3 linked regions of the Mus musculus genome follow. The protein of the gene in region 1 binds, or shares a complex with, the protein of each later gene. Links are inferred from orthologs where the notes say so. Each region holds a gene or a part of one and is shown in the gene's direction. Other genes may lie near its edges.

Region 1 (5,854 bases):
ACCTGCAGCCCTTCCTCCCCGCAGCTTAGCTCAGCCTCTCAGAGCTCAGCTCAGTGGAGAAGGCCCCTTCCTTCCTCAAAGTGGCCTTTTTGACTTCCCCCTCAATGCATTTCTTACAGTTTATGGTATGTTCACTTTACATAAAATTCACAACAGAACGTTAGGAATAAATTTTTCCTTCACCAGTTTGTAATTCTCGTGGTCTACAGACATCAACTTCTATTCAGTTGTCAGGTTGTATCTAGCCCAGCACCTCCTATACATCAGGTCAAACCAATTTTCTGGAGAGTAAATGAACAAATGAACTAACTTAAGCAGGGCTAGATTTACACAAGAGCATTAAGACTTTCCAAACTGGTAACGAGTGCAAGGTTTCTGTATGTGAAAACTGCTTTAAATTGCACAGATCAGGCTGCAATGGCAGGCTGGGATAAAACCCTAGACAGTCTAGAATGCTTTCCACTGAGTTTTTCTCTCAATGTAGCAGGAAGCATTGGGACTTTCTGAGAAGGAAGTTACAGGGCTACCGCTGCACAGAGGCTCTCTGGAGGACGGGATGGAGAAGGAAGTGAGACTTGTGGCAGAGAAGAGGCACAGGCTGCGTGGGGCAGCGGAGACAAGCACAGGATCACGGACAGACAAACATCAGACAGAGGGGATAAAGGCTAAAAAACAGCTGTCATGTAGTTCAGCAGTGGGTTCTAGCTCCATACCACAGCATTCTCTTATGTCAACCAAGAAGAGGCAAAACCGGAAAGGCAAAATTAGTTGTGTGCGGTGACAAGTACCGTTGGGAAAGTGATAGAATATTCTTTTCTCTACCTCGATTGTGGCTACCTGATTATTTTGTCAAGGTTCATTGAAAGAAAACTAAATTTTAGATGACCAGCCCTGTGATAGTTACCCTTTAGTGGCTTGAAGAAATTGTACAATAAACTTGAATGCTTAAAAACGCAAAGTCAAAACTCAGTCAGCAGGAAATGGCTTTCACGCTAAGGAATGAAACCAGTTAGGACTAACACTGGAGCAAGCTTTAAAAAGTGACTTTTGAAAAAGAGGGTCTAATTTCAAAGTCTCTTCCCTGAGAGCATTCCCGGGCGTGCAACAAGCAGTCCAGCCTTTAGAACTCAGGTCGTCAAGGGCTGACCAGAGAAAGTAGTGGGAAGCCTGGGACCTTTCGGAGAACAACTGCACGGAGCACCCACAGATCCCAAACCCGAGCATGAAAGAGGAGGACCAGCGGCCATCAACATTTACACACGTTAAGGTCAACACGGTTCTGCACATCTAGGAAGGAGTCTGAATGCAGGCAAGCAACACAGAACCTTCATTGGGAGCTGGAAGGCAAGGCTTCCAGGAAGCGCCAAGAAGTAAGAAGATGAAGTGGACACTTGCCTCGAGGTCCCGTGAGACCGCGAAGGCAGGCAGGGACAGGGGGTTGTACTTAGCCAACCTCTACCGTGGACGGAGAGGAGGCCCCGCAGAGCGGTCCTACCTCAGCTGCAAGCCACCACCACGGGCTTCGCAGCCCGGTCTCCTGCCCCCTCCGAACATCGGGGAGAGGTCATTCTAGCCCGGGATTCCCAACCTGGAAGCTTCCGGGCCTGCTCTTGCTCAGAGAGCCTCCTGGCTCGCCCCTTCCTCCTCGCCTCGGCCCTCGCCCCACCCTTTGCCTCTCCATCCTCCCCGTGCCTCCTCATCCCGGGGCAACCTCGGGCCGCAAGCCCTAGCGGCAAGCAGCATCTCCCCCAGACCCACAGCCTCTACAGGCAAAACACAGGGAGGACCCCAACCCCTGGTCTCTCACCATCGCGGGCGCTGTCTGGGCCGGAAAGCGGAAGTGCGGAAGTGCCCGGACCCGCGACGCCTGCCCTTTCGAGAGAGGCGCAGCCGCAGTCTCCGACAGCACTTCCGGGCTGGACCATCTCGGGTAGGACCGGGGAGGGAGAGCCGAGAGATATTCAGATCTCCGGGGCGATTTCACACTGGGACCTCTGGGACTTGTAGAAGACCTGCTATGAGACAGTAGCGGTCGAGTCCCCTTGGATCGCTACACATATTCCGCCAGCGCCTTTAGTGCTTGTCGCTTTGGTTGTAGCCTCCCCCCGTGTGACAATAGTACAGCCCGACCTCAGGTTGGGCACCAAATTAGGACAGGCCGAACCGGAGAAACGTTTCTTCCGGTGGTGCTCCCCTATCCTCTCCGGGCTCCTCCCATTTGCAACCGTAGGGTTCGGCCGGGTAGCCAGTCCCTTGAGATTTGGGCTCTGGGCCCCACCCCAGCCCCGGGCTGCTTCCTAGCCCGGGACTCCTCAGGCCTAGCATTCCACCTCCCGGAGATTCGTAGGTGGCCTTAGACCCCCACCCCCACCCCGGCCCTACAGGCCACCTTGGGCTGGCCGTCCCCGCCCTCGCGTCAACTGCAGGGGGCCCGCCCATAGCCAGTTCCGGAGCAGTTGCTCCGATCGCCCTGAACTCCCCGCCCCCTCCTGCGGCCCAGGGCCTGTAGGAGGCCGCAGAGAGGAGGTAGGAGAGGCGGGGGTTGTGTTAGGGGCTCCCTAGAGGACGAGGACCCTGGAGGCGGGATCTTGGGGCGACACACAGGTGGAGCCAGCCATTAAGCAGTCCCACTTCTGTGCCAGGCACTGAACTGGGCACTTGACGAGCATCACCTCTTAATCCTCAGAACATTCCAGGGAGGTAGGTAATTCTCGATGCCCCCATTTTACAGATTTATACTTCTTAATGGGGAAATAGACTGAGGCATCATCTTTTGTCCTGGAAAAAAGAAAAACAAACAAACAAACAAACAAAAACCGGAGATTCAGGTTAAATAACATGTTTAGAAACGCACATAAGAAAATGGGCTGGAACTTAGTTCTGTTCACCTGACCAGCCTGTGTTCCAAACTAGCCAGGGACACAGAGAAGGTGCAGAGGTGGAATGGAGTGAGACAAGAGGAGGCAGGGAGAACCCTGTCAAATAGAATGCTAGAAACGACCCAACGTAGGGAAACAGAGGACATAGGAAGACAGGGCACACTAGTATCTCCTCTTCCTTAATGCTGCAGATTCCAGACTTCTGCGGTTCAAATTGCAACTAGGAGGCCGGCCTAATCATGCAGGTTTGTACACCTAGTGACTTGGGAGGCTAAAGCAGGTGGATCATAAGTTCAAGGCCTGGAATTCATGAAAGGGGGGGGGGGCTGGATGTAACTGTAACATAATTAAGTTTGGAGAATTTGTGCCTAGAATGAACAAGCGCTTGTATAAATCAGGTGTGGTACATGCCTAAAATTCCATCTCTTGGGAGGTGGAGACAAAACCTTGGCTACATAGCTAGTTTGAGACCAACCTGAGTGCATATCTTTATCCCAGCACTCAGAGGCAGGTGCTTTCTGGGGTGGGGGTCGGGAGGGGGAGCTCTATGAATCCTGATCTATGTAGCAAATGAGTATCAGGCCACTCAAGACTACATAATGAGATTTTTGTCTCCCCCACCCCAAAATGGGGGTGAGGTAGGGTCTGGAGATGTGTGAGACCCTTCAGTGCTACCAAAACAAAAAAAGACAATAAATTGCAGTTAGGAGTCTAGGCATGTGTACATACTCTTCTGGAGTCTTTTTCCTTTCTTTGTCAAAAGAAAGAAACCAGGCAGTGGTGGCACACGCCTTTAATCCCAGTAGAGGCAGGTGATCTCTGAATTGAAGGCCAGCCTGGTCTATAGAGTTCATTCCAGGCCAGCCAGAGTTGTTATACAGAGAAATTATGTTGAATGAATGAATGAATGAATGAATGAATGAAAAGCATGGCAAAAGGCCCCCCTTTTAAGGTTATGTGCATAATTCAGTGAAGTCAACCTAGCTTGGGGTACAGTCAGGGCTCTGTTGGGTCTCTCTCCCCATGCTACTTTGTCTCCTATCCAATGGCCTTCTCCCCTCTAATTTTACAGGGTCCCACCTCCTGGGCCATGAGCGAGCTGAAGGACTGTCCACTGCAGTTTCATGACTTCAAGTCTGTGGACCACCTGAAGGTCTGTCCCCGCTACACGGCAGTGCTGGCCCGCTCCGAGGACGATGGCATTGGCATTGAGGAGCTGGACACCCTGCAGCTGGAGCTTGAGACTCTGCTGTCCTCTGCAAGCCGGAGACTGCGTGTACTGGAAGCTGAAACCCAGGTGATTGTCCATGGGGGGCATCCACTAGAGACATTGTGTCAAGTTATGGGATGGATCCTTAGGTTCCCTCTCTGCTGAGGCCCAGGGATGGATGGGAAGAGAGACCCACATGGGAATCATGACAGAATAGTTAGCTCTCAGTTCAGCTTACCGTTAGCCAAGGATGCTATCCGACTGTAGGTGGACACCGCCCACGTGTGGCCCCTGAAGTTGCCTGGGAACTTTCTGAGATGCACTGTGATACAGTCAGTTGCATAGACAGAACCACCGGGTGCCTTGGAGTGTGACATAAAGGTTAGCTGGGAGTCTTGTTCACCACCACCAAAAAACCCAGCAGCAGCAGATTTCCCCAGGACTACCATGCCAAACCGTTTGTGACTAGCTTGGGCGGCAGCAGAAGTGAATCAGAATGTAGACCTCCGGTTAAATTCATGTGAGAAAATCACAGAGAAGAACAGGCATTTTGAAATATGAGTAGTTTGCTTAATAACCTCAAATTCTAGATCTCAGTTATCCATGGCGGGGAAAGAAGTGCCCTGTCTCTTCTCTCCGTCTCAGGGGTTGTCTTTGTGTGTTTCAGATCCTTACTGACTGGCAGGATAAGAAAGGGGACCGACGATTCCTGAAGCTAGGTCGCGACCACGAGCTCGGTGCTCCCCCCAAACACGGAAAGCCCAAGAAGCAGAAACTGGAAGGGAAGACAGGACATGGGCCAGGCCCTGGCCCGGGACGACCCAAATCCAAAAACGTCCAACCCAAGATCCAGGAATATGAATTTACTGATGACCCAATCGACGTGCCTCGGATCCCCAAGAATGATGCTCCCAACAGGTTCTGGGCCTGAGCACGTAGCAGGGAGCTGGAGGGGCCCAGAGACTTGTGGTGGAGGCTTGGAAGGCCCGGGGCTAAGGCTGAAGGAGCATCTCACCCACTCCGGGTCTGCTTCTGCCTGTAGGTTCTGGGCCTCTGTGGAGCCCTATTGTGCCGACATCACCAGTGAGGAGGTACGGACACTAGAGGAGCTCCTGAAGCCCCCAGAAGATGAAGCTGAACATTATAAGGTAGAAACCTGAGCCGCACAGTCAGTACGACAGGGCTCAAAGGCGCCTGAGGGTCCTAGGCAGCAAAGCCTGCATCCATCACCTACTTTCTTCCCAGCCTCCTGCCTGCTCCATGACCCCTGCAGACAGTGAGGCTCAGCTTTCTCTGTCCTCTAGCCTTTCTCCAAAGAGCCTCTGAACACTCTCCTTGCTTTTACACTTGGGCGATACTTACTTTCTTTAACTATAAAAGTTAAGTTCCGCTGGGCGTGGTGGCGCACGCCTTTAATCCCAGCACTCAGGAGGCAGAGGCAGGCAAATTTCTTGAGTTCAAGGCCAGCCTGGTCTACAGAGTGAGTTCCAGGACAGCCAGGGCTACACAGAGAAACCCTGTCTCGAGAAAAAAAAAAAAAAGTTAAATTCTGGTTTTCTTTTCTAAGACACTGGAATTTGCTATGGTACCCAGGCTGACCTTGAACCCCTGGACTCAACCATTGTCCTCTCTCAGCCCTTCAGGTCCCCCCCAGGTGTCTGGGACCACAAACATACCTGGGTTAAAAGTTGGTTTTTTTGGTTTTGGGGGATTTTGTTTGTTGTTGTTTTTTGGTTTTTGTTGGTTTGTTTGTTTTGGTTTTGGT
Region 2 (5,874 bases), on another chromosome or scaffold:
GGCATCAGATGACATTATAGATCATTATGAGCCACCACGTGGTTGCTGAGGGCTGAGCTTTCTCTGAAAGAGCAGATAGTGCTCTTACTACTGAGCCATCTCTCGGCCCTCACCAACTATCTTTTTATAAGCCTGAATATCTATCATCCAAAATGTGGAGCTATACAATAACCTCTTGAATGTTTTGTACTTTGTGAAAATAGCCTGAGAGGTGAAAAAATATCAAATACTGATTTCTCAGCCAAAGAAATGAAGTAAATTTTTCCATGCCCTCCAGGTGATAATTAGCACTCAGAAAGCTCTCTCTCTCTCTCTCTCTCTCTCTCTTTCTGTGTGTGTGTGTGTGTGTGTTTAAATGATAAACGCAATAAGCAAATTACACGGTGAGAAAGAGGTGTATGTATAATGCCCATAATTCAACACTTTTACTCACTAAAGTTAATGACCCTGGGCTTGCAAATTACATTTACCCTACTTCAGCTGTAGGCCTTCTGAGCTGTATGATCAAAAGCACTTGAGGGTGCCACCTTCAGTAGTAGTTTCTTACCCATTCCCCACGTGCAGCCCAGCTCATCATCTTGACCACTTCTACTGCTCTTCCCTTCAGTGGTATTTGCTTCTTCTTCTTCATCTGAGTCTTCACCTAACATCTTCTTCTCCAATAATATCTGCTGCTGTTTACGCAATTCCTTCAACTGTGTTACTGTTAATTCAGATTCTGCCTCTCGGTCTTCCTCTGGTCCCTAATGAATCATGGGTAAAATATATACATATATGGATTCAGAAGTGAGAAAATTACTTTCTGAGACACAGCAACGTACACAGACCTGTGGGTCCAGAATGAGGCCTGTGCTTTTGTCATTGGTTACCAGAATCCTTTTACTCAACTAAACCTTAAAGAAACTCAGAATCGCCGGGCGTGGCGGTGCACGCCTTTAATCCCAGCACTCGGGAGGCAGAGGCAGGCGGATTTCTGAGTTCGAGGCCAGCCTGGTCTACAGAGAGAGTTCCAGGACAGCCAGGGCTACATAGAGAAGCCCTGTCTTGAAAAACCAAAAACAGTGAAGTCCCAAGATTTTTATTTTAGATTTTTCTACCTACCTGAAGGATAAAGAGCCGAGTGCTGCCTCCAAAGCGCATTACATGCCCGACGTGGACTCTACAGTAAGTGCGGGGTGGGATGCGAGTTTTGTTGAGGAACGTGCCGTGGGTACTTCCCAGATCGTAGAGATAAAAGCCCTGCTCATGACCCTCAGAGTCTCCGCTGGGATCCGCCCCCCGGTGCTGTAGTACAGCATGGTACCGAGACACGGAAGGATGCTCCAGACATATGTCACAACTAGCAAGTCTCCCGAAAAAGCAGCAGCTCGTGTCTTTCAAGGTGCGGGTGCCAAGGATGGTGCCACCCTTCAGGGTTTCGAGACTGTAGGGGGCCGTGGCTGGGCTGCCCCACGATGGCTCTCGGTACGGAGGAGCCCGGGTCGGACCGCCAGACGCAGGAGCTACCCGCGGGGAGCGGAGTTGCTCCACCGGTGGACCCCCGGTCTCCTGGCTGTCCGGCTGCGGTGGCGGGACCTCGGGCTCCTCACATCCAGAGTCCAGCTGCGCCGCGAGACATTCTTTCTTCACATCCTCAGAAACGGAGGGACTGGAGGCCGGAGCCTTACCCCGTACTGCGGAAGGCACTGGTAAAACCGGCTTCTTAAACTCGCTACTGACTTCCTGGGGAGCTGGCGCATCTAGCTGAGGGGTAGGATCAGCCATCCTTAGCCGGGTGCAATCTCAAAATGTGTCCCTCGGAAACCCCGACCCCTCGCTCTCTACGTTCCCGCTCACTTCTCCTCCTCCTTCCCACCTCCCTGAGGCTTCTCTGGACAGAAATGTTGGAGTTCCTCTTTCAAGACTCGCAGAGTTTTAAAGATGTGAATAGCACTAGGGAGTCACAATACCAGAAAGCGGGGAGAGGCTCTCAGAGTGCTGTGCAGGATACGGACATTTTAGGCGTTGCATGTAGGCTAGTAATAACTTCCTGTGGCAGAGGGCGATTGGGAAGAAGTGCTTCCGTGGCCTTGGTCCATTAATCAATAAACAAGGCTCCTAGGCTTGACCTAGTCCTCGACTCCGACCTGTCAGAGTCAGGCAGCCGCGTATACCACTCCTGGGGCAGGGCGGTGAGTATTTGAACTTTATTTTCTGGTTCCGGTCCAGAGCCACCCATTTTCCTGCTGCCTTGTAAATCAGACTTCCCAGGATCCTGTGGTCGGCGCCTAAGCCTAAGCCTCCAGATCCGGAGCAAGGAGTCCCTATCTGCAGCTCTCGAATTTATTCCTTTTATGAAGTTAGTAAAGAAGCAATTTATTATTGTTCATTCTTTTATTACTCGGAACAAAATATTGAGATAGCATGTTTAGTGGCTTAACAAACCTGAGCATCGAAACCTCTTTTCTTTTTTACTCTTTGTATTTATGATGTTGGCATGACCCTGGACAACAGCTTCCACATCTGAAAAATTGGAAATAGTAGTGTTAATTTGTCATAAAATTTATGGAAAATTGAACTAAGCCATAGTTAATATTATAACTCTTTGACAGAGGCCTGAAACTATACCAAGATGGCAGCCATAACAAGTGGGAGAATACAGATGAATAAGTCAACTAAAGTTAAGGTTCAGGGATAAAAGCAAATTCATGTAAATATACAAAGAAAGGAGATCTGTTGGGGGGAATGGTGATTTCAGGGATCCTAAAGAACAAATTCAAGTCTGATAAAGATGTAGAGGGTTCCTGGCAGAGGTCACAACTCAAAGGGTCAATTATAAAAATATCTCATGTTCTTGAGAAGCTGAGTGGTGGAGCTGGAGAGATGGTTCTGTGTGCTGCTCTTCGGTGGATCTGAGCTCCATTTCCAGTACCCACATCAGGGGAGTTCACAACCACCTCTAATTTGAGCTCCAGAAGGATCTGATGCCCTCTTCAGATATCCTTGGCACCTGCATACACATGGAACACACAAGCATATACTCAACCCCCAACAGACAACAAAAACGAATGTCTGTGAATGCATAGCCTGCCTGGTCTACAGAGCAAGTTCCAGGATAGCCAAGGCCTCAAAGGGAAACCCTGTCTCGAAATTAATAATTTAAAAATACAATCTTAGCAAAGGAAATAAGCTGAGGGGCCAGTTAGATGGCTTAGTAGGTAAAAGGCACTTGCTGCCAAGTCCGAATGCCCGAGTTCAATCCATGGAACCCACATGGTGAAAGGAGAGAACTGCCTCTCACAAGTTGTCTTGTGATTTTTTCATGCACACATACCCAAAATAAGTAAATGTAAAAAAAAAAAAAAAAGAAAAGAAAGAAAGAGAAAGAAAGGAACTGAGTAGTATATTGTTAGAGCTGAGGGCATTCATTTTGTCCAGGAAGCCCCTCACTTGCCTGCAGGACACTGAACTCACGCCTTTAAAGTAGCAGTGCCAGCTGCTGCTATACTGCAGTATTTTGCTTCTGTTATTCCCTCAGGACAAAGATCTTACACCGTCACACAATGTATTCATTTGATGTTTGTTGGACCTGAGGAGACATATAGGCAGTAAACCTGGAGACGTGAATTAAAGACGCTTAGTAAGCTTTTATTGAATGCTAAGCCACAGAATTCTGACTTTTTCCAAGCAAAAGAAACAAACAAAAAAGCTTGGAAGTGTAGCTCAGTAATAAAAATACTTTTGTAGGATGTGTTAAATCTTCAGCATTGAGAGAATGAGAGACAGAGACACACAAAGAGAGACAGACAGAGAAAGGAAGAAAGTCTAGCAGCAGGGCCAAGTGTAGATCAGATTCTGAAAAAGACTGGAATAGCAGTTCTCAACCTTCCTAAAGGTCTGACCCTTTAATGTAGTTCCTCATGTTGTGGTGACCCCATGCAACCACAAAATTATTTTCATTGCTACTTCATAACTGTAATTTTGTTGCAGTTATGAATCCTATTGTAAATACCTTATATACAGGATACCTGATATTCCTTAACCTATGAAAGAGTCATTTGATCCCCAAAGGGGTTATGACCTACAGGTTGAGAACCACTGGACTAGAGGAAGGAATACTTGTTAGAAGGCAACAGAAGTCTCTCAGATTCATTCTGGGGAGACAGCTCAGTCCATTGCACGCATGAGGACCTGAGTTCAATCCCCAAACCCATATGTAAAAATCCAGGTATGGGTGCATGTGCTTATAAACTCAGCTTGTGGGGAGGAAAGCAGAAACAGTCAGATCCCTGGGACTCACTGGTGAAGGGCGTGGTTCTTATGTTAAGGTCTTATTCCCCAATTGGTTCTTTATTTGTCAGTAAAGAAAGCTGGGGGCCAATTGCTGGGAGGAAGGTACATGTGGGACTTCCAGGTTCCAGGAGGAAAAGGTAGCCACAAGGAAGGAGAGAGGTCTTTCTGCCATGCTTTGGAGGAAGAAGAATGCAGCAACCATGTGAGGTCTTGGGGGAGCTGAGGCCTGTGGCTGGGAACTGGGTGGCTGTGGATTTTTGGCAGGACATAGGTGGCACTAGCCACTGAAGTTTGGGGCAGGTGGAGAAACAGCTAAAAATATTAATAAGGTCATGCTTTTCTAGGCAAGAGACAGTAACACCCAGCGATTGTGCCAAGAAGGCAAGTTATAAAAGAATAAACTATGTGTGTGCACGCGTGCGTGTGTGTGCGCGTGTGTGTGCGTGTGTGTGTGTGTGTGTGTGTGTGTCTTTTATCCACAGATTCAAGGGAAGCTGGGTGGGGAGCTAGGAGCTCGGCTTTTCCCAGAGCAAAGTCGGTAGAATAGAAGTACAGGCAATACACTGGCTTAGAATAATCAGCAAATCCTACACTCCAGCGAGAGATCCTATCTCAAAAAGCAAGGTGGAATGTTGCCTGAGGCTGATTCCTGGCCTCCATGCACACGCCCACCGAGACCCTCTATTTGTTCATGTGTATGTCAGAATTTGGAAGCATAAGGCTAGATTAAAGGTTCATGAATGTTTCTACCATACACGGCACAGGTTAAAAAACACCTACTAGTATTTTTTGTCTTGTTTCGTTTTATTTTTTGAGATATGGTTTCTCTGTGTAGCCCTGGCTGTCCTGGAAATTACTCTGTAGATCAGGCTAACCTTGAACTCAGATCTGCCTGCCACTGCCTCCTGAGTGCTGGAAGAAAGGAGTGCACCACCATATCTGGCTGCCTGTTAGTAGTTTTAATGCTGCTCTCTTTTTCCTATTAGTCTAGCACAATTGTGTAGAAATACTCTGGAAGTAGTCCAGACCTCCTACTTTAGTTTTATGCCTTGTCACATATTTAGAATGAGGCATGATGGGTATTCTGGTGATGAATTTGTGACGTGAAATAGGCAGTGTATATGTTAAGAGCCCCACACACCAATTACTACTCTTCACCTATTAGTTACTTTGATTTTCCTTTTGTAATTCAAAGAGGAGTTGTCGCTGTGTGATTGGCATCTAACAGTTATTTTTCTCTTCGTTTCTTCAGGGAGAGTATTGTCTGTCCTAGAGTTTTGCTAGCACCTTTTTAAAGTGATCTTAGCTTGCTTCTTATGTGGGAACTGCCTAGACTTCCTACTTTTCACTGCAGAAGCTTCTGATCTACAGTTGCCAGAGACGGAAGCACACACCTTTAGGAGATCGTTTACATTAAGCTGGAGAGCCCTTCTCTGCTTGCTCTAAAATGCTGAGGTACTGGGGAGAGATACCAATACCGTCAGGACAGACCAACAGAAGTTCCTTTGATCTGCTCCCACGGGAGTTCCGTCTGGTGGAAGTCCATGACCCGCCCCTGCACCAGCCCTCAGCCAACAAGCCGAAGCCCCCCACGATGCTGGA
Region 3 (5,821 bases), on another chromosome or scaffold:
TACCTGAAAGATGTGTGGCTCCCACACTGGGCTCTGCAGCAAGGAATGAAGGGACTGGTGGGCACAGACCCTAAACCCTGCACCTGTAACTTAAGTCTTGGTGGCTCAGGGGCTGTGTCATTAGCAGATGCTTAAGAATGGAAGGAGGCTGTGTACCGTGGTACCAAGAGGCCTGTGAGCTCCAGAGCCTGGGCTTTGCTATGGCTCTCATTGTTGTGCTCCCTGTCACCTAATGGCTTCGGGGTACAGGCTACTGTACACCTAACTGGTGGGTCCCATTAACCGGCATCAAGAGGATTAGCAAGAACCTTCTGATCCTTTGGTCCACTTTAAAATCTTCAAACCATTATCAAGAGTAAAGAATTCTGTGACTTGTGGCTGGGGGCTGTGACTAAGTAGTGTCCCACTCACTCAGGATGATGCTCTTGGCCCTGAACGTGTTCTCCTGTGTCAAAAGAAGACTCGTGGGTTTTATTTACAACTGTGAATTTCTGTTCCTTCTAGTGTGTGTCAAGCCTATACTGGCTTCTAGCACCCAACCTGCTTCCTCATTGTCTCTTTCTTTTTACTGGCTTTCCAAATCTGGAGGCTGATGTTCAAGAACAAAATTTCTGTTATTTAAGGATTCCCAAGCACACTTTGCAAGTGAGGGCACTGTGGGGTTTGTTTGTTTGTTTTGTTTTTTGGCTTCAAGGCGCACAGTTCCTTAGGTAGACTATTGCTTAGAGGACAGCTGGGGTAGGGTGGGGTTTGTATAGTAGTTATATAACTCATTTAGTTTAAAAGGCTGGGACAGGATCAGCACACAGGCTGAGAGTTTATACTCTGCTTTTGAGAGAATAGTTCTCACCTCACCTTTTTGATACAGGGCCCCACAAGACCCCCAGGCTGGCCTCCAACTAAATGCATAACAAAGGTTGAACTCCTTTTCCTCCTGCCTTCATCTTCCGAGTGCATGGAGGGTGTGTGTGGGTAGTAAAAGCTGGTGGGAAGAGTCTCTTTCAAGGCACGAAAGGAAAAAAAAAAAATTACAGTGTCAAATTCCTCATTCCCCAGTGCTGGATCTGTGCAGACCGTGGCAAGTCTCTTCAGAGGTGACGATGATTCTAGGAAGGTCAGTTGCGTTGAGGTCCCCAACAAGCTTTGCCATCTGGAATTTGTTTTCGGCCTTTTCAAAAAAAAAAAAAAAAAAAAGGAAAGACGAAATCCATAGCGATGTCCAATAAGACGGCCTTTTGGTTAAGAAAACACCCAGAAAGAAAGGGGAGAAATGGTAACGAAAATGTTCCTACAAAGTGCCAGCAAGCATCAGTTTAGAGGATTTACAACCAACCCCCCCCTCCCCCACGAGAAAAGTAAATAAAGAACAAATCAGCTTCCGGATGTCCAGCTTCGTCCGGGGTGTGCACGGCCCTCGTACTAACCGCTGTAAGTCAGGGGAGCTGACCCGTCGTGTCCGCGGCGTCCTCTGCGCACCTCTCCGCCCCGAAAGCGCCTTCGTGCCAGGACTCCTGCTCCTCTCTGACCGCCGGGGCCCCGGGAGCGCCCGCGCAGCTGTCACCGCCCGCCCTGGCCGCAGCCATTTTGGAAGGGTGCAGACAAAGGGCGAACCCCGCAGCCGGCTGCCGCGACCCACCCGGCGCCTAGAGCCGCCGCTCTCCCGGCCCCGCTGCCATTCCCACCAGCGCTCCAACAGCCGACCAGCACCCAGCGCCTAGCCTGCTCCCCGGCCTCTGGCGCTCGCAGCCATTGGCCGCGTCTTTTAAGAGCCCGCCGCAGCCAATCGGAGGCCACAGGGGCGCGGGCGTGGGCGGTGCGTGTCGGCGCGCCTGCGCAGTGGGCCGCCCCTCCCCCCTCCCTGCGCGCCGCGCCCCCGCCCGCCCCGCGCACCGCCCCCCGCCCCGCTGGAACCTCCTCCTGCCCAGGCGCGCTCGGCCGAGCGGCGGCGGCGGCGGCGGCGAGGAGGAAAGATGGCGGCGGGCTCGGATCTGCTGGACGAGGTCTTCTTCAACAGCGAGGTGGACGAGAAAGTGGTGAGCGATCTGGTGGGCTCGCTCGAGTCGCAGCTGGCGGCCAGCGCGGCCCACCACCACCACCTCGCGCCGCGCACGCCCGAGCTGCGGGCCGCGGCCGCCGGCGCGCTCGGGAACCATGTTGTGAGCGGCAGCCCGGCCGGAGCCGCGGGCGCAGGGCCGGCCGCCTCCGCCGAGGGCGCGCCCGCAGCGGCGCCGGAGCCGCCCCCCGCAGGTAGAGCGCGGCCGGCGGGTGGGGGCCCGCGGCGCCCGGGCTCCAGCTCACCGCGCCGCTTGCTTGTCCCCGCAGGGCCCGCGCCGGCGCCCGCCAAGCTGAGGCCGCTGCCCGAGGCCAGCGCGGGGCCCTGCCCCGCCGCCGCTGCCGCTGCCGCCGCCACCGCCGCCGCCGTCGCGGGGCCGGATCCCGCCGCCGCCGCCCCACCCGCCGGCCCCGGCGCCTCCAAGCCCGGCCCGCCTGGCCCGCCCGGCCCCGGCGCCGCGCAAACTTTGAATGGGAGCGCCGCGCCGCCCACCGCGCCGCACGCCGCACCTGCTGTCAGCCCGGTCAACAACGGGCCCGCGCCGCCGCCCGCCGCCGGCTCTGTCATCCAGGCGGCCCCCGCGCCCGCCGCGCCCTCGCCGCCCGCCGCGCCCGCGCCCGCCGCGCCCCCGCCGCCCGCGCCCCCAGCGCCTGTCGCGCCAGCCCGGCCGCCCGGGCACCCCGCCGCGCCCGCGCCCCCCGTGTCACCCGCTGCCGCTGCCGCCGCCGCCGCCGCTGCCGCCGCCGCGCAGAACGGGGCCGCTCCTGCCCCCGCCGCGGCCTCCGGGGGCGCCGCGGGGTTGGGCCAGCCGGGCGCGGGCGCGCAGGGGGCCAAGGCCGAGGCGCCCAAGCCCGGACCGGGGCCCGGGCCGGGGCCGGCGGCGGCGGCGGCGGCGGCGGGGGTCGCGGGCGGGGGCGCGGCGGGCAGTGTGCTGCTCGGGCCCGCCATGCCGGGCGCGCTGCCGGGGCCTGCGCCCGGGACCCCCGCGGGGCTGGCGAAGGGTGCGGCCGCGGCGACCCCCAGCCTGCCTCGGACGCCGGCGGCCACCACCGGCGCTATCCGGGCCACGCTGACGCCCACCGTGCTGGCCCCGCGCCTGCCGCAGCCGCCGCAGAACCCGACCAACATCCAGAACTTCCAGCTGCCCCCAGGTGAGTGGCAGCGCGCGGCGGGAGGCCGAGGGCGGGTGCACCAGGCTGCCCTGGCGTTCCAGGAAGTTCTGGGCTGCATTCTGGGACCGTGCCCTAGTCGGGTGGCCCGAGAGGCCGAGGGGCGGCCCCTGCCCAGGTGACCTGCCAGTTTTGAGGGCGTCCCAGTCCTGGAGCTCCCAGATCCCTCGGGGAACTCTGCTGTCCCATTCGGATGCTCTGGGCTACCACCGTATAGCCGAGGGGCCCTTCTCTCTCCTTCCTCAGGTGAGGTCAAGAGAGGGCGAACCGACTACTCACGGGCATGCTAATGAAGTCTGTGGAAGGCGGCATGGGCTTTCCTGTTGCCAGGGAAGCCGGTTGGGGACTCCATGCTGGGAGCAGGCGTTTAGTGGTCATCAGTGCCTGAAAGTGGACCCTGGGTGTTTTTTGTTGTTGCCATCCCTGGAGGTCAGTAGGACACTTAGTGCGTAGGGGTCTGCGGATGCAGGAGATCATGGTGATGTGGATTCTGGGACACAGGAGCTGTCTCGGCTCTTGCAGATTCCACACATGTTCTGACTCTGTTGTCCTCGAATTCCTAAGGGTCCCTTGGGTTTGTCGAGTGGCTCCTTTCCTCGCTTGTAGCCTGCTTTTGTTTGAGAGTCCTCTGCAGGAGTGTTCCCACAGAACCCTGGGCCGGAGCAAGCCCTGTGCGCTCCTCCGGTATTACACGGTGACATGTGCAAGCAGTAGTAGCAGCGCCGCCCGCCCGCCCGCCCGCCGCGGTGGCAGTAGTAGAGAATTAGAAAACATGCTGCTACTGTGTCCTCTCCTGTTTTCTTAAAAGTGGTTTGGGTCACGTTGAAAGACCTACAGCATCTTTAGAATTGGGTTTTGCTGTGGAAGTCAATGAGGATTGGGAAGGCTCATCAAAGGTCCAGAGATACCTGCCCTATCTATGGGGATATAGGACCCAGAAGTGTTTGAGAGGTTGCAGGGGCTGCCATGCTCTGAGGAGGCGCTGGGTGTGACATAAGGCCTAGGAACTGCAGATGTCTCTTGCCACACATCTGGGGTTTGCTGAGAAGTGAGCAGGGTGTGTGTGTGTGTGTGGGGTGGCTGTGTGTGTGTGTGTTTTGTGTGTGAAATTGAAATGCCTTGTTCATTATCTTCATTCTGACCTCTGGGTGGAAAGTATGGCTGATATTTATAGTTTAAGATGCATTTTGTGCTTGTAGTCTGCTGTTCGAAATGCCACAGTACTTTAACACGGACTTCCCCAATGCAAGTATGTGCCCACATTGTCCTTTTATCAGGAAAGCTGGCTTAGTCAGGTGCCCATGGCATCCTTCCATAGCAATCCTGGCTTACCCTGGCTCCTTTGCTTTTGAGTGCTGCACAAGTGAAGTCCGTCTCCCTGGGAGAAGGACGATGTCATTTGAAAAGGGCATTGGCTGCTGTCTGCACCACTGCTGCCTCCTTTTCCAGGTCAGGTTCAGAGTTGGCGTGTAGAGCAGAAGATAACTCCTTGGGGGAAATGTAAACATGTTCATTATTTGCACGTCTCTGCGTCTGCGTCTGCATCAGCCCCCATGCTTGTGCTGGAGAGTAGGGCAGAGTCTGGTGTGTAGCAGACACCCAGAGCTCTGCTTCAAAGTCCCACATGCTTTCTAAAAAAGAGAAAACTCACACCCATCCTCTGTACCCCTGGCTTCTGTTGCTGTTTTGATAAGGAGTGCTGATTGATTACCTTACTTTAAAAACACCCAAAGCTAAGCTAATGTTTGGTGCTTAAAACCATTACCACCAGTGCTAGAAAACCGACATCTTTTTAAACAAGACGGGGAGGCGTAGTCAGAGGATGCAAGCATCCTAGTTTTGTCCTGTAACTGCGTAGGCAGAACTTTTTCTAACTGATGTTCCTCCTTCATTGATAGCTTTTATAATAAAATATACTCAGGAAAGATGAAAATAGGTTCTAATAAAACGTTGTTTAGCCAATAGCAGCCTTTGCACGGTAAAGTGGAGAGAGAGGGGGAGGCAGGTTTCAAGGCTACACATAGGTGTCAAGTGGAATAGCATACCATTGGCAGTTGAGAGGAGTGTGAAAAGGGCTGAGTCCCTCCCAGTGCCCTCATGAGAGAGGTCATGCTGGGGGAGGGGAGGGACACAGGCTTCACCCTGAGGTCTGTGAGATCAAGTTTAATCTTCAGCATTCACCAGGAACTTCTAATAAGTACCTTGAACTTGTTTTTTAATTTCTTTTATTTTTTTAAGCAACCGGAGCCCCGATCTTCCCTGTCAGGACAAGTTTCTAAAGGGACTGGGATGTTACTGTGGTTGTGACTTGCTGGTGGTTTGCTGGTGCCAAAGTCTAAGTTTGATCCACAATGAGAGCTTTAGATAGTTCTCAGATTGCTGGATGGCAGGTGCACATGTCAGGAGGAGATAGAGGCATGTCACAGTGTGACTATAGTTGTCAAAAGGGCAGGTGAGAGAACCTCAGAGTTAGTGTGTGCTCTGGTGACTTTGAGAGTTCTGGGTGAGGATGCTGTCCTGCAGGCTGTTTTTCTAACTTGGCAAATTAGCATTTTCTTTTACGTGTGCTCATTCTACCTTGGTATTGAATTTACTCTCA

Evidence for each region.
Region 2: Tada3 (region 1) and Supt7l share a complex: the UniProt entries of both Homo sapiens proteins name them as parts of the STAGA transcription coactivator-HAT complex. The link is inferred for Mus musculus from reciprocal best matches to the Homo sapiens genes TADA3 and SUPT7L.
Region 3: Tada3 (region 1) and Taf4 share a complex: the UniProt entries of both Homo sapiens proteins name them as parts of the TFTC-HAT complex. The link is inferred for Mus musculus from reciprocal best matches to the Homo sapiens genes TADA3 and TAF4.

The regions. Positions count from the first base shown.
Region 1 is NC_000072.6:113,374,162-113,380,015, reverse strand, and holds the start of Tada3 (transcriptional adapter 3), read left to right. Parts: upstream 1-2,177; 5' UTR 2,178-2,700; intron 2,701-3,070; 5' UTR 3,071-3,118; coding exon 3,119-3,124; intron 3,125-3,951; coding exon 3,952-4,176; intron 4,177-4,756; coding exon 4,757-5,007; intron 5,008-5,131; coding exon 5,132-5,237; intron 5,238-5,854. Other genes in the region: Arpc4 (actin-related protein 2/3 complex subunit 4), read right to left, coding at 1,808-1,810. UniProt on the Homo sapiens protein: Functions as a component of the PCAF complex. The PCAF complex is capable of efficiently acetylating histones in a nucleosomal context. The PCAF complex could be considered as the human version of the yeast SAGA complex.
Region 2 is NC_000071.6:31,522,912-31,528,785, reverse strand, and holds the start of Supt7l (STAGA complex 65 subunit gamma), read left to right. Parts: upstream 1-2,023; 5' UTR 2,024-2,171; intron 2,172-5,524; 5' UTR 5,525-5,719; coding exon 5,720-5,874. Other genes in the region: Slc4a1ap (kanadaptin), read right to left, coding at 548-743, 1,102-1,764.
Region 3 is NC_000068.7:179,972,796-179,978,616, reverse strand, and holds the start of Taf4 (transcription initiation factor TFIID subunit 4), read left to right. Parts: upstream 1-1,970; coding exon 1,971-3,204; intron 3,205-5,821. UniProt on the Homo sapiens protein: The TFIID basal transcription factor complex plays a major role in the initiation of RNA polymerase II (Pol II)-dependent transcription.